Mus musculus: one gene and its partners. The protein of the gene in region 1 interacts with the protein of each later gene in a pairwise test. Links are inferred from orthologs where the notes say so. Each region holds a gene or a part of one and is shown on either strand. Other genes may lie near its edges.

What was found.
Region 2: the proteins of Sh2b1 (region 1) and Insr interact in binary tests that used the Homo sapiens proteins (3 or more experiments, as listed by UniProt). The link is inferred for Mus musculus from reciprocal best matches to the Homo sapiens genes SH2B1 and INSR.
Region 3: the proteins of Sh2b1 (region 1) and Ntrk1 interact in a two-hybrid assay, tested with the Homo sapiens proteins (2 studies listed by BioGRID). The link is inferred for Mus musculus from reciprocal best matches to the Homo sapiens genes SH2B1 and NTRK1.

What each region holds. Positions count from the first base shown.
Region 1 is NC_000073.6:126,472,100-126,476,529, forward strand, and holds the start of Sh2b1 (SH2B adapter protein 1), read right to left. Parts: upstream 3,032-4,430; 5' UTR 2,897-3,031; exon of another isoform or gene 1,380-2,896; intron 996-1,379; 5' UTR 913-995; coding exon 1-912. UniProt on the Homo sapiens protein: Adapter protein for several members of the tyrosine kinase receptor family.
Region 2 is NC_000074.6:3,276,502-3,281,259, forward strand, and holds the start of Insr (insulin receptor isoform A preproprotein), read right to left. Parts: upstream 3,117-4,758; 5' UTR 2,628-3,116; coding exon 2,528-2,627; intron 1-2,527. UniProt on the Homo sapiens protein: Receptor tyrosine kinase which mediates the pleiotropic actions of insulin.
Region 3 is NC_000069.6:87,792,047-87,796,710, forward strand, and holds the start of Ntrk1 (high affinity nerve growth factor receptor precursor), read right to left. Parts: upstream 3,117-4,664; 5' UTR 3,099-3,116; coding exon 2,887-3,098; intron 1-2,886. UniProt on the Homo sapiens protein: Receptor tyrosine kinase involved in the development and the maturation of the central and peripheral nervous systems through regulation of proliferation, differentiation and survival of sympathetic and nervous neurons.

The DNA.
Region 1 (4,430 bases):
ACTTCCTCCTCCTCCTTCTCCTTCACTCCGGAGCAGTAAGCGACACTTTTGCCACTGAGGCTGCCCTCCTCCTCCTGAGGTCAGCCCAGCTGCCCCTCCTCCACGACCCACTCCTGCTGGGTCAGGGGCAGCCTCTTCAGCCCCCATGAAACTCAGCAGCTCTTCTCTCTGTATCATTCCTGCTCCGTCTTTCAGGGTTCCCCCTCCACGACTTAGCCTCAGCCTCTCAAATCGATGAGTCCATCTCTCCCCAGGGGATGTGCCATCATTAGCCAATGCCCTACCAACTGTCCCAGCACCACCCGAGGAGTTGGAGTTGCTGTTTCCACCTAGAACTGGAGGGCCGGATGTGGTCTCCAGAGGCCCAGCTTGGGAGGGCGAGTCAACGGCACCCCGCCACTGCAGGATGCCTCGAACAGAGCCTCTGACTGAACGGCCCACTGAGCGGAGGGAGAAGCGCTTCTTGAGCTTTGGCTTTGAGGATGTTGTAGAGGAAGGGACTGAGGAAGGAAGGGGGCCAGCCAGGTCCTCAGAAGATCGAGAAGGGCCCAACACTGCTAGGGGCCCACCCACCCTGCAGCTCTCAAGGGACAGGTCGTGTGATGGTGGGATTTCCACACCAGGGCTCAATGGAGCCAGGACAGGTGGGGAGAGTGAGCCCGAGGCCCGAGCCACCTCGGCTTCGAAGTGCTGCAGGAAGAGCTCAGCAAAACGGCCAGAAAAAGCGGCCTCTGCTCCCGGCTCTGCATACTGTGGGTGGGAGGCCAGGTAGAGGCGAAAACGTCGGGCAAGATCCAGGGCAGCTGCCCTCGCATGGGACTCACAGAACTCTTGCCAACTTGGGGGAGGGGGTGGTGGCAGCGCTGGCGGAGAAGGGAAGACCCCATCCTCTGGGGAAGGGGCACCATTCATGATGGGCCCCAGGAGGAGGACAAGGGAAGCCTGCGGGGAACAAATAGGGAAGCAGCCAGAAGACACGGGATGTGCGGCAACAGCTGTAGAAAGAAGAGGCACATACACTGAGTTACTGTAGAAGTGAGATTGAGTTATATCTCAGCCCAGGCCAGGGACTCCCCTCCAGGCTCCTCAGAGAGCAACAGGCGAAGAGAACTAAACTGTTTTGCCCTCTTCAAGATCAATAACCCTCATATACCCCAGGGATGAAGGATGCTAAGCCCAATCCTGCTGCCTTTGTCACCCCTCTCCCTGTTGTGGGACCCAGGAAAGGGCCTTGGAGCATCTTACCCCACAGGGGACTCTTAAGATCACTGCCATCCCTTCTCTAAGACAAAACCTTCCCTAACTATCACACATTTTAAGTGTGCCATTCCAGAGGGCTCTACAAGGTCATTTTACCTTTCCTTAGACAACTTACTAACCTCTTACAGATGAGGAAACGGAGATTCAAACAGAGATTCAAACAAGTTCCAGAACTCAGAGTCTACCGCATTTCCCACTGCACAGTTCTAGTCTCCAGGGATATGCTGGACCAGCCTCGACCACAGCTCCCACTGCTCTGTTCTCAGGGGACCAAAGGGTGCAGGGATTACACCCTTTAAAGACCTTGCATCATAGGTCCAATGAGTGGAAGTTGGACTGAAGGCTCAGTTGTCTTCGAAGCTGATCCTATAACCCAGCACTTAAGCCCTGTGGGAAGACTTGGATTGGCTGAAGGCCAATCTCTGGGTTGCCCCTACAGTCTAGGGCTGAGTGATAGCAGCGCTAGAGAAAAAGAGATGGTGTGTTGGGTCAGGACAAGTCTTTACTAGCCACAGAAGTAAGGCATCGCACGGAGCCGGGGCTCAGGAATTTTCACTCCCTGGGGAGTGTACCTGTGAGTTTTGGACTCAAGCCCCAGCTCAGTCCACCTGTTAGCTGTGTGAACCTAGCTTTTGTCTCTGTAAAACACAGTTACTAACCGCTACCTGCTACAGTTGTCAGGAGAAATGAAATGACAAGGAACATGTCTATGCTTTCCACAGTAAGCACACAAGACATCACTGCCACTGTAACTATTTTTTATGGGGGAGGACAGTATGATGGGTCCCATTTGCGCTCCAGAAAGGAAGCGCTTCTGCGGGTGCCCCAACTCTTACATCACAGCTAGAAAGTGACAGAGCTCCATATGTAATTTACAACCGGTGGCTCTTTGGTGAGTGGTCCTGCCCTATGATCGACTGAAAGGAGACACCTCTGGACGGCTCAGGAAAGTCTACCCAAACTATCAGTGATGCCAGCCTCTTCATCAAGCCTACAACCAAGCTGCAAGTCAGAGACCCCCCCCCCCTCCCCTTCCTCCTTGGCCTTTCCTACATACTCCGATGGCTCCAACCACAGGGACAACTCCAAACCAGGGAGAAGCAGCCAGGAGATGCGGGAGTCACAGAGCACAGGGGAATCGGGGCCAAGAGGCGCAGGCACGGCAGAGACAGTCCCCAGCCAGAGGCTACCTCGGCTCACACAGGCCCACCCAGCCCTCAGCACTACTGGCCGACCCAGCCCCCTTCAGGCCCGCTGACCCTGCGGTTCCTGGACTGGTGACTCAGTTTCTCTTCTGCCAAGACGGCTCAGTCACAGTTTTCCGGTGCACCTGCCTCTTGGCTTAGTTCTGACATTCCAGAAGGGCGGGTGGTGGAGGGTGCAGGCTGCGCTCCAGGTTCGGACCCTCCGGGCCCCGTGGTTAATCACTCGGACCCGATCCTAGTCGTTGGACACCCTCCACAAGCCCCTGGGCCGGAGCCTCCGAGGGACCAACTATCTGCTGCCCTCTCGGGAGCCGAGCACCCCTCCAGCCCCGAGCCCCCACGCCCACCCCCGCCCAGGCTTCTCAGACGACAGGGTCGAGTCCGGAGAGGAAAGAGGCACTTGAAGAGGGGGGTTCCGGTTCCGGTCCCACCTGCATCTCGGTCCCCGCGCTTAGCTCCGGCGGCGGCAGCGGCGGCGGCGGCGACGGCCGCAGCTCCCGCTCCCTGTGCCCCCCGCCTCCGCGACGGGCTCCCAGCACGCGCTTCTGCGCAGGCGCTGGGACGGGTTCCCCGACGCGGAAGGAAGCGACCATAGAGAAGAGCAGTAAGAAGGAGGGCACCTTCGTATTCACTTCCGCCATCGTTCTCGGCGCCGAGGTTTTCAGGAGCTACGCCAACACAGGTCTCACTAAGCTCCCGTGGCTTCGGCAGTTGTACCTAAAAGGAACCACTGAGGCAGCTGTGGGAAGGCGTTGGGTCCGTCATCCGAAGCAAATTCTAGACAAAGGCGAGAAGTTAACCATAGAGAAGCCACTTGAGCGGAGAGAGTAGCCGCCCACTAAAAGAAATCAGCGAGATGATAAAGCTCTTTGAAGAGCTGGCTGCAGCCTAGAGCGCCTGGCCCTGCATCGAGGGGTACACGGACACCGCCCCCAGGGATCTGGCGAGCGATGTAGCGGTGACCTTGGGAGGCCGAGTGGAGTGGGCGGAGCCTGAACTTAACGACCTTGGTCTTTTAGGGGAAAGGGACAAGGTGGTCCTGGAGGGCTCTACCTTAGACGGGAACTAAAGTTGGGACAGCAATAGTGAGGTCAGTTTTGGACATGCTTGCGGGTCATCAGTAGGTACATAGAGATAGAGCTTGAAGTTCAAGAGAGGCTTCAGGGCAAGTTAGAGGGATGACGAAGTAAGGTACAAAGTGCTGTTGAGACCTTGCGCACAAATACCTTCTAGCAACCCAAGCTCGCATTGATCCAGCGTCACTACAGCTGAAGTAATTGAAAAGGCCAGAGTAGATTGGGATCATTGACAGGGCCCAAAAGATTATGTCTATAGCTTGTCATCTGTGATTGTACTCTACTCGTGCGGTCGGTCGCTTTCACCCACAGAGGGGCTCTAGTCTTCTTGGTGTGGCAAGATGGTTTTCCATAGATTCAAATTTAAATCCTAATAGTTAAGCAACTCAGTGTAAGGAGTATCACTCTTTCTAAGATCATCAATAAAATTTTCAGAATTAGGCTAGTGAGATGCCTTTTCAGTAAAAGTGCTTGTGTTTTCTATGCAAACCTGATTAGCCAGAATTCCCTCCCCATAACCCACTGTGGAAAGAGAAAGGATGTTGGAAAGTTGGCTTCTGACTTAGAACATGGCACACACACCACACATGTGTGATACCCCCCCCCCATCACATACACATAAACAAAGTGGTAATAAAATGTAAATAAGTCACACTGCTGGAAAGAGAGCTAAGTGATTAAAAGACTAGCAGCTCTTGCAGAGGCCCCGCAACCACATGGTGGTTCAGAACTGACTATAACTCCAGCTCCAGGGGATCTGATGCCTTATGACCTCAACAGGGACACGTACATACACGCAGGCAGGCAAAACGCACATATAAGATAAAATAATATTAATTTTGGAAAATTTAAGCCAGGCAGTAAGGAGCAATGCCTTTAATCCCAGCAC
Region 2 (4,758 bases), on another chromosome or scaffold:
TAACGAATTAATTAATTAAATTCAAAACTAAGGAAACAGAGAAAGCCAGTAGGCAGCAGGGAACTAGCCATGTGGCCAGCCAGCTGCCTTCATGGTCCTGTCCTTTCATCCCATGCAAAAGCCAGAGGCTTTGAAGAGGTGTGGGAAGGACTCATGAGATCATATTTACAAAGTATGGGGATTTTCTAGAAAATTAAGACTTTTGTTATTCTTGTTGTTGTTTGAGGCAGGGTCACCCGTAGCTCAGGCTGGCCTCAAAATCACTAACTTGGCCCAGGATGACCTTGAACTCCTGATAGACCTGCCTATACCTTCAGAGTGCTTGCTGACAGGCATACAACGCCACACATGGTTTATGTAAGTCTAGGGATGAAACCCAGGGATTTTGTGTGTGCACAGGGAGGGCTACACTCTGGCCACACACCCAGTATATTTACTGCACAAACCCCAATGTCTTGGCTTTCTGTGTGCCATTAGGGAACAATGTTTATATGCACCTACTATGTGTCCAGCACTGCTCAGGTTCTAACATCGGTGAGGAACAAACACCAGGCCCTATCCTTGTGAACACTGCATGTATATTTAAAAGCCCCCAGAAGCTCTGTCTCCTGGGCTCAGGAAGTCCAGACATGGACAAACAATCAATTACCAAAAAATGTAAAAGCAGAGCTCAAGGTACAACACTATGCGCCCAAGTGCACAGGTGCATATACAACATAACCCTACTTCCTTAAGGCCTCAGAGAGCAATGTAGATGTTAACAATCTTGGATTTTTCTAATAAGAACCCAAACCATGGACTGGCTCCGTTTTTACTTACTGAGATGGATGGCTCAGTAAGTCAAAGCACTTGCTGCCCGAGCATGAAAACCTGAGTTCAGATCTCTCCACACCCACCTAAAAGCCAGCACTTCAGCATACATCTATCTATAACTCTAGTGATAAAAAGAGGTGAAGGGAGAGGGGGAACTGGCACTCACAGGCTAGGCAGTGCGGCCAAATCAGCAAACTCAAGGTTCATTGAGAGACCCTGACTCAAAACACAAGGCTGAAAGTGACAGAGACAAACACTGGATGTCAACCTAGGTCCTCTACAAACACACAGGCACAGGAGTGCACACGCGAACACACATGCACACGCACGAACACGTGCACTCGGGCACAAACCAAACCAATGGCCATTCCTCATTGAGTACCTTCTGTATATCGGATCCTGGGGGCCTCAGAGACATTACCAGTTTAGCAGACCCACTCCACAAGATCAACCCAACCTGTTCCATAATCCTGCACCCTCCTCCCAACACACACATCTCCCTCATTCACAAAAGCGTGGCAGTTCCTTCTCTCCTTGACCCCTTCCCTATTGTAATTAATTTCCATTTTCAGAGAAAGCTGAACCAGTAACTCAAAAGACATTTGTCATTGCATGTTTTTTGAAACAGTGTCTAACTAGCCTCAAAACTCACTCAATAGCTGGGCTTGCTTCAAACAACTCGCTATCCTCCTGCCTTGGCCATAACCAAGCACAGAACTATAAGACCAGCCTCTGAACAAATGGGCTAACTGAACCTCATTTTAGCCCTCTCTGAAATGGGTATGTAACTATGTTGGCCTCCAGGGAACACTGGGAGGTTCTAGCGCTAACCAGCCTGGAGACTCATAATCATTCTAATTATAACCATCCTGAAAACTACCCCTACTGTTACTATGATTGCTGTGGGGCCAAAGGTATGCAGACTTTGCCTCTAGACATCTGGAAGTAGAGAATTATAAACATAGCAGCCACAAGGGGTCGATTCTCCAACAAGTGTCCTCCGTCGAAGAGGATACCCCTGGCTTTGGGTTTAAACTGCTCAGATGTCTGAATCTGTTGCAACCCAGTAACCATACTTACTTAAAGCAACCTCAAAGAGCCTCAGAGGACAGATTTGGGGTTAGAGAAAAGAACAGACACAGTTGAGAGGTGCACTGGGGACAGACACCCGAAGCCTGGGCGGGCACTGGGGCAAGGTTCCTCAGACCCGAGATGGACACACGCGGGGTACAGAGCCACAAGCCCAGTGAGCAAAGGCCAAGGTCAGCCGGGGTTTCACGCAGGGCCAGGGCCACCAAACCCACTCTTCCCCTTCCCCAGTGTAAAGATGATCACTATAGGGAGGGGACTCTTCATAGACACAAGGACGCTACGGGAGTCTTCAACCTTCAGTCCGTGGAGAGGGGGCTCTAGGTTGATGGAAGAAGAACGAGAAATGTCCACAACTCTCGTGAAAGGACTATATTGCTGGAGTGGTGAAATGGGTGTCTGTAACCCTGACTCCTTGGTGGGGCCTGGGGGGCTCTAAGTTGTATGGAGCAATGGGAAGGGTTGTCCCCATTACTCAGCCCAAAGGGAGAATTCTCTAGGTTGGCTGTGGCGGTGGAGAGGGGTGTCCCCGACCCTCACTCCTTAGGGTGAGGGTTCTAGATTGGCTGGGGCGGTGGGAGAAGTGTCCCCGACATACTGTGATCGCCTCTTGTCCCAGACTTACCCTCTCCAGGGTACAGGTGGCCGGCTGTGCCCACCAGCAACGCGGCCACGGCCACCAGCAATGGCACAGCCGTCGTCTCACATCCTCTCCCGAAGCCCATAGCAGTAGGAGTGCTGGGACCCCGGCGATCAGAGCACGCCACGCCGGCCTACTGGGGACATACTCCGTGAGAAGGTCTCTGGAGAGGCGCTCGGGGCCGCACGTCCTTCTCTTCCACGCCCGTGGCTCACAGGCCGCAGCTCTCCAGCCTAGAGGGCCCTGGGGACAGTCCCGGGAAGAGCACAGAGGCCTCGGCCGCAAGCAACACCGTGGCGCGGCCCGCAGGTCACCCAGGCCCGGTCCCGTGCCCGCAATCCCAGAGTCCAGAGCTCACCGCGGTGCGTCTCCTGTCCGGGTCTCCTGCTTCTGCCCTCCGTGCAGCTCTGGGTGGGTCGCGTTGTGTGGAGTCTGAGACAGAGGGACGCGCGCACTGGAGGGCACCTGGGCTGGTGGTGGCGGCGGGAGCTAGGGCTCGACTCCAGCCCGTAAACAACGCAGCCCGTCAGCTGGGCCCGCGCGGGCCAAGGGAAAAGGTGGCGCGGATTAAGACAGGGAAGGGACTGTGCGCTCCAGTGAGGCCCGCTGGGGGGGGAGGGGGAGAAAGCCAGCAGAGCTCGGGGAGGCGTGGCCAGAGCTGGCAACGCCACGCCTCCTCGCCTCCTCGCCTCCTCGGCCCCTTTGCCCCCTTGCCCCGTAAAACCCGCAACTTCAGAGACCCGAGGCTCACTTCAGATTCTTCCAATCCCAACACCCCGAACTGCTGGCTTAGAAAGATTACGATTTAAAAGCTTGTAAGCGTTCTCAGATACCAGTGTAACATAAACACCCAAACAACTCTAAGACTCACCTGTCAAACGTCCGGAGCTGCCCATATCCGCACCTGACACGAACGCCCCCAAAGAGTCCCAAAGTTCCGATTTTAAAACCTAGGGGTCCCCAGATCCCCGCCTGACTCGAAAACCACTAAACAGGCCTGAGGTTCCAGTTTAAAAGCCTAGGGACGCCCCCAGGTCCCCTCCTGACTGCAGCAAACACAAGTAACACCGAGGTTCCAATTTAAAGGTCTGGAGCACACTCTAGATCTCCGCCAGATCTAGACACCCCAAATTACCCCGAAATAACAATTTTAAAGTCTGGAAATGCCGCCAGATACCCCAGGACATAAACACCCCAATATGCCCCTAGATGCCAGATTCAACCAAGCACATTTTGTCTTTCTTTACTCCTTTTTACTATTTTTTTGACTCCCGTGGGGAATTCACTTTAATTCTTTACCTTTGATTCTGTTTTTCTTTACAGCCTATGCTACCAATGTCTTACGAGATTCTCCCAACCCTGGCTCTCTCGAGGAGCTAGTAGGCGCCCAACAAGTTCCCTCCCCAGTGAGCTCCCGCCCAGCAGCTTGGAGGCACCAGCTTCCAGGCCACAGCCACGTGTCCACAATGCAGGCAGCCTGTATTCCCTGGCCTGCGCCCCCTCCACCCAGCACTGAATTCCAGCAGAAATCAATAAGGAAATGACTCTAGAAGAACATAACAAGGCTTCTAGAAACACGTTAGAAACTTCATATAGGATCAGAGCAGACATAACTCCATTTTCAACACACATACCAGTAGGTGGCTGTATGTCTAAGAAAGCCATTCACTAGCAGCCCTGCTCAACCACATCATGAGGCGCTAACCCTGTCGGTGCCTTAGGAATATGTGCAGTACAGAGTCCTCTATCCTTTGCTTCACATGTTCACTCAGACCCGGACTGTGGCTGCTGGTCTGTGCAATGGGTTTGACAATATCTGTAAAAAAAAAGGTAAAAATAAAAGTAAAGTGGCAAGCAATAGAGAAAGACACTTAAGGTCAACCTTTGGCCTAGCACACCACACCACACACACACATAAACACACACATACAAACATATACATAAACAGAAAGAGAGAGAGAGAGAGAGAGAGAGAGAGAGAGAGAGGAGAGAGAGAGCGCTAAAACAAAGAGCCAAGCATTGGGAAGCAGGTCTTTAATGTCTTTACTCACAAGGTAGAGGCAGGGGGATCAGGATTGGAGCTTAGCCTGGAACACATGAGGTCCTGACTTTAAAAATAAATAAAATAAACAGAAAACAAAATAAGAGTGGACCTGACAATATGGCTCAGCAGGTAAAGGCACTTGTTGCTAACCCTGAAGATCTGAGTTCAATCT
Region 3 (4,664 bases), on another chromosome or scaffold:
CACATGCAGCCTCTCACATGCCTCCTGCAACACAGAGGCAAGTGTACAGAAACACACAGGGGTGTCCTCAGACCCTTACTGGAGGACACACGTGAACAAAGCTCACATAGACTTCTCCCATGCACATATAGATGAGAAGATGTGAAGACATGTTAGTCAATGCCCACTGCCATTCTCAGCTTGGGGCTCCATTTTTATAGCAGGTTTCTCCAGCATATATATGCTCAATGATAGGAAATTATGCTGAGACTAGCCTCCACAAAGGACAAGACTCCTGGAGGTACTTGCTCCACTCAAATGCTAAGGACGTCCCAATTGTCATGCTACTGTGTGCTCCTAAACGTACTTGCTCTGTGGCTACCATCTGGGTTCGTTGACACCAACCACATAGACACATACACACAATACACTCTGCTCTCTCTGCCCCCTCAAAATCTCTGGTTCTTCCCCACAGCAACCCCTACTCTCTCCTCTTCAGCACTTTGCCAAACCAAGCAAGAAGCATAGAGCCATTGGGCGCTCCCCGAGCCCCTCCTTAATCGTGAGGGACCCAGGAAGGGAGAGAGGATCCTGGAGTGAATGGACTCTGAGTGTGGAGGTGAAGAGAGACGGAGATACAGTGTGAGACAGTGAAGGCTGGAGGAGGTGGGTGGCAGAGCAAGGGCAGATAAACAAAGAGTGAAAACCCCAGAAGAGACTGACAGTAAGAAGACAGTGGGCTGGGCGGGGAGGAAAGAGACACAGATAAGGAGATGGAGACCCTGAGACAGAGATAAGGGGTGAGAACCAGGGAGGCAAAAGACAGACAGACAGAGAGCAAGCAGCCCTTGGGGTGGAGTGGCTGTGGGCGCAGTCCTATCTTGTAGTTCTGGCATCTTGGAGTTCCTGTGAACACACTCCCCTGTAATGACATGTCCTCTGTGGGGGCATGTCCATGGCCTCCTCTTTTCCCCATCCCTGCGTGTGCTAGGGGCTCTTGACTCACTAACAGTTCTCAGAACTCTTCCCCCTCAAAACCTTTGGTTCTTCCCCACAGCAACCCCTACTCTCTCCTCTCCAGCACTTTGCCAAACCAAGCAAGAAGCATAGAGCCATTGGGCGCTCCCCGAGCCCCTCCTTAATCGTGAGGGACCCAGGAAGGGAGAGAGGATCCTGGAGTGGATGGACTCACAGATAAGGAGATGGAGACCCCAAGACAGAGATAAGGGCTGAGAACCAGGGAGGCAAAAGACAGACAGACAGACAGACAGACTTGTTTGGGAACTTTCCCTTGGCTTAAAAAAAAAAAAAAAGGAGTAAGGGAACCAGTCAGTCCAAGGGACCCTGTGCTTCCCTGATCCCAGCCTTGTTCCCCATAGGATGGCTATGTGTCTGTCCTCCCCCTGGAGTTCTAAGGAATTGTTGCTAGCCACGTTGAGGGAGTCCAGATCCCTGTTCTGCCCCCAAGGGTTTCAAGCTATAGAGACCCAGGGAGTTGCTAAGAAGATCTATGTAGCCGGGTATGTGTGAGCTGTCAGGCAGTGTGTGTGCTTCATGCCGCCTCATTTGTTCAGATTCATAATCAATCTGTCTATTTGAGTCCATTAGCTCCCTGTTAGCTATGCGGGTGAGGGAGGAGGGAGAGGATTGTGCAGGAGGAGTTGGGAGGATCAGGCCCCACCCAGGGGGGTGAACATTTCAGCTCACCACCCTGCCAGCCTCTTCCTCAATAATCTAGGCTTGCCCACTACCCCTGTCCCTGGGCTGGACTCCCTTGGAGTCTTGAAAGGCTCTGAAGAACGAGAACATTGATGGAAACAATCAGGAGGCTGGACTCTGGTTTGAATGGACAGGCCGGGGAGTAACCATCTAGACTTCAAACCCCATCCCATCCTGCAGGAGCCTAGACCCAGACCAAGACAAGGCCATCTCCTCTCTTCTTGGTCTCCCTAGGGCCATTAGAAAGAGATTGAGTACCTCCGTTAATTACCACAAGATGCCCGAGTAACTCGGTGCCAATCACTGCAGGCTGCTAGCTCCACCAGCGTGCAGAATACTCAAGTATTTTCCAGCCATCACTGTGTGATGCGGAGTTCCTTCAGGTCAATTATACTCTCAAAGGTCTCACTAGCTGCTACAAAGTACTTGAGTATTTTGTAACCGATTATTGCACATTGTCTAAGTACTGCAGAGCTGAAGGTTCCTCCCAGCTCTGGACCTGGAAAATGGGAAAATCACTCAGCAACAGCCCTGACTCCCTGATACAAGAAGGGAGACAAAGGTGAAAGGAGAGATGGGTGAGCAGAGAGAGAAGCAAAGGGGTTTCGTTCCCTGCTTCCCGCATCCAAATCAAGGAGACTTGTGGTCAGTGGAAAGGAAAAAAGAGCTCAGACACCAAGCTGGTTCCTCACCATCTCCCACCAACTCCAGCTCAATCACAAATCCAGAGAAGAGCTGGATTCCCTGCATGACAAGGAAGAGGTTGGGGGCTGGCTTCCCCCTAAGTAAAAGAAGATAGCAAAGGTGCCACACTGCCAAATTCTGCACAGCTAACCACTCCTCCATGGGCTTAGGAACTTGGGCTCTTGATTGAACCCCACAAAAAGGTTCTTATCCTAGATCGCTGGACCAATGCCTAATCCACCTAGTTTCGGTCTTGCTCTACCCCAAACCAGCACCACAGTTAGCTACCCTTAATCCTGAGCGACATCCAGACAGTGACTGCGCGGCTCTGCCAGGGTGGTGGCAGCGGGAGAAGCCGCCGCAGCACAGCCAAAGGCTACACGTGCCAGTCTCCTACAGCAGCCAAGCCTGACCCCTCAAGCCAGAGGTGAATGAGTGCGCGCCCTCGGGGAAGGGCTGTGCCCTCCTGACCCCGCACCCCTCCCCCGAACGACACACACTCACAGCTCCGTCAGGTTCCCGGCGCCCCGCAGGCCGCGGAGGGTATCCAGGGACCCTGCCCTGGTGCAGCGCAGCCCCGAGGGGCCCACGGGACAGCAGACCTCGCGACAGGATGCGGCGGAGGCACAGGCCAGCATCAACGAAGTCATCAGACTGCCTAGCCCCGCGGCCGGGCGATGCCAGCCCAGCTGCCCGAGCCGCTGGCCTCGCAGCATCGCGGCGGCGCCCGCCTTGCTCGGGCCGCGCAGCCGTCCGTGCGCTCCTAGCTGCCGCCGCCCGGCCTCGCGCGACACGTGCGCGGGGCGGTGTTAAAGACTAGCCACCAGGAGAGGGCGGCACCCACGGCCCCGCCCCGCCCCGCCTGCCAATGCCCCCAGTGCCCCCTCCCCTTTTGAGGCCCTAATGCCAGCTCGCCTTCCTAATGTCCCTCGCGGCTGCAGGAGACCTGGGGCGGGGGGCTGCCATAGATTGCCTCACAAGTGTCTTCTGAGGCTGGGGGAGCTAGGAAGCTGATACCTTATTTCTCACAGTAAAACAGCTGCATTTTCAGATTTGCGGGGAAGTGGAGAAATTGAGCAAGGGAAGGGTTGAAGTCCAGGTCATCCCAGCCAGCCTCACGGTGCACTTTACTTAAGAGGGTGTGCATGTCACTTGGAATAAGTTAGGTGAACGCTCTCCAGACCCTAGTAAGGAAAGGGAGAGGGCCTCAGCATGGCTGGATGCAGAACCTGGGGAGAAAAATAGTGGGAGAGAAGAGTCCTTAGAACACAATTGGAGGAAGATTGGAAAGTGGAGACCTCTCGGTCCTCAAAAGACCACAGGGTGGCGCTAGAAGCCCTCGCGCCCGGCGTTTGCGCTCGGCCTGGGGCTTCGAGGGCGGAGAAGAGCAGTTCTGAGCCTTTCTAAGCTGTGCCTCTGGTCTTAGGGTCAGTTCCCAATCCTAACCATCCATCTGGGGCCCCAGAGCCGAGCCATGGCCAGGCAGACCAAGCTTGGCATCGATCGCCGTCCTGACAAGAGCATCGATTTCTGTGCGGAGAAATTAATAGATCTCTTAGTTCTTCGGACGTGGGAGCTGGGAACCATCGGCTCACGGTATTTGTGAACCTGGGAAGTCTCAGGCCCAGCATCCAGGCCACTAAATGGCAAGTCTTGCGCAATGGCCTTCTTGACTGCACGTATAAGTGTCGCGTTTAAGAGATCATCCCATCATGAATTGTCCTCCAAGTGGCCCCGAATAAGTACATATATAGAGACCCACTAAGCATCCTGAGTTCTTAAAAGTAACCAAATGGAGCCAGGCAGTGGTGGCACACGCCTTTAATCCCAGCACATGGGAGGCAGAGGCAGGCAGATTTCTGAGTTCGAGGCCAGCCTGGTCTACTTCCAGGACAGCCAGGGCTACACAAAGGAACCCTGTCTCGAAAAACCAAAAAAAAAAAAAGTAACCAAATGAAGGAGGAATCTCACAGAGAGAAGAACGACTCGTCTCCTAGGGATTTGAGCCAAAACCAAGGGATTTGACGGGGACATACCCCGCGCCAAGGAAGTATGTTCAAAGTAGCCTCGGGAGGCTGGGAAGGGCTGTGAGAGGCGAAGTGGTGAGGTCGAAGTGGTGAGGTCTTCAGGTTTCACCAGTGGAGTCCGACCTGTCCAGGCTGCGGGAAGTTACCCCGCAGATGTCAAAACACCTGTTGGACTCCAGAACTCCCCTGCAAATCAAGCCAGGGAGCCCAGCCGCTCCCTCCAGATCTGCAGCGAGCGGGTTGGGGGGGTGGGGA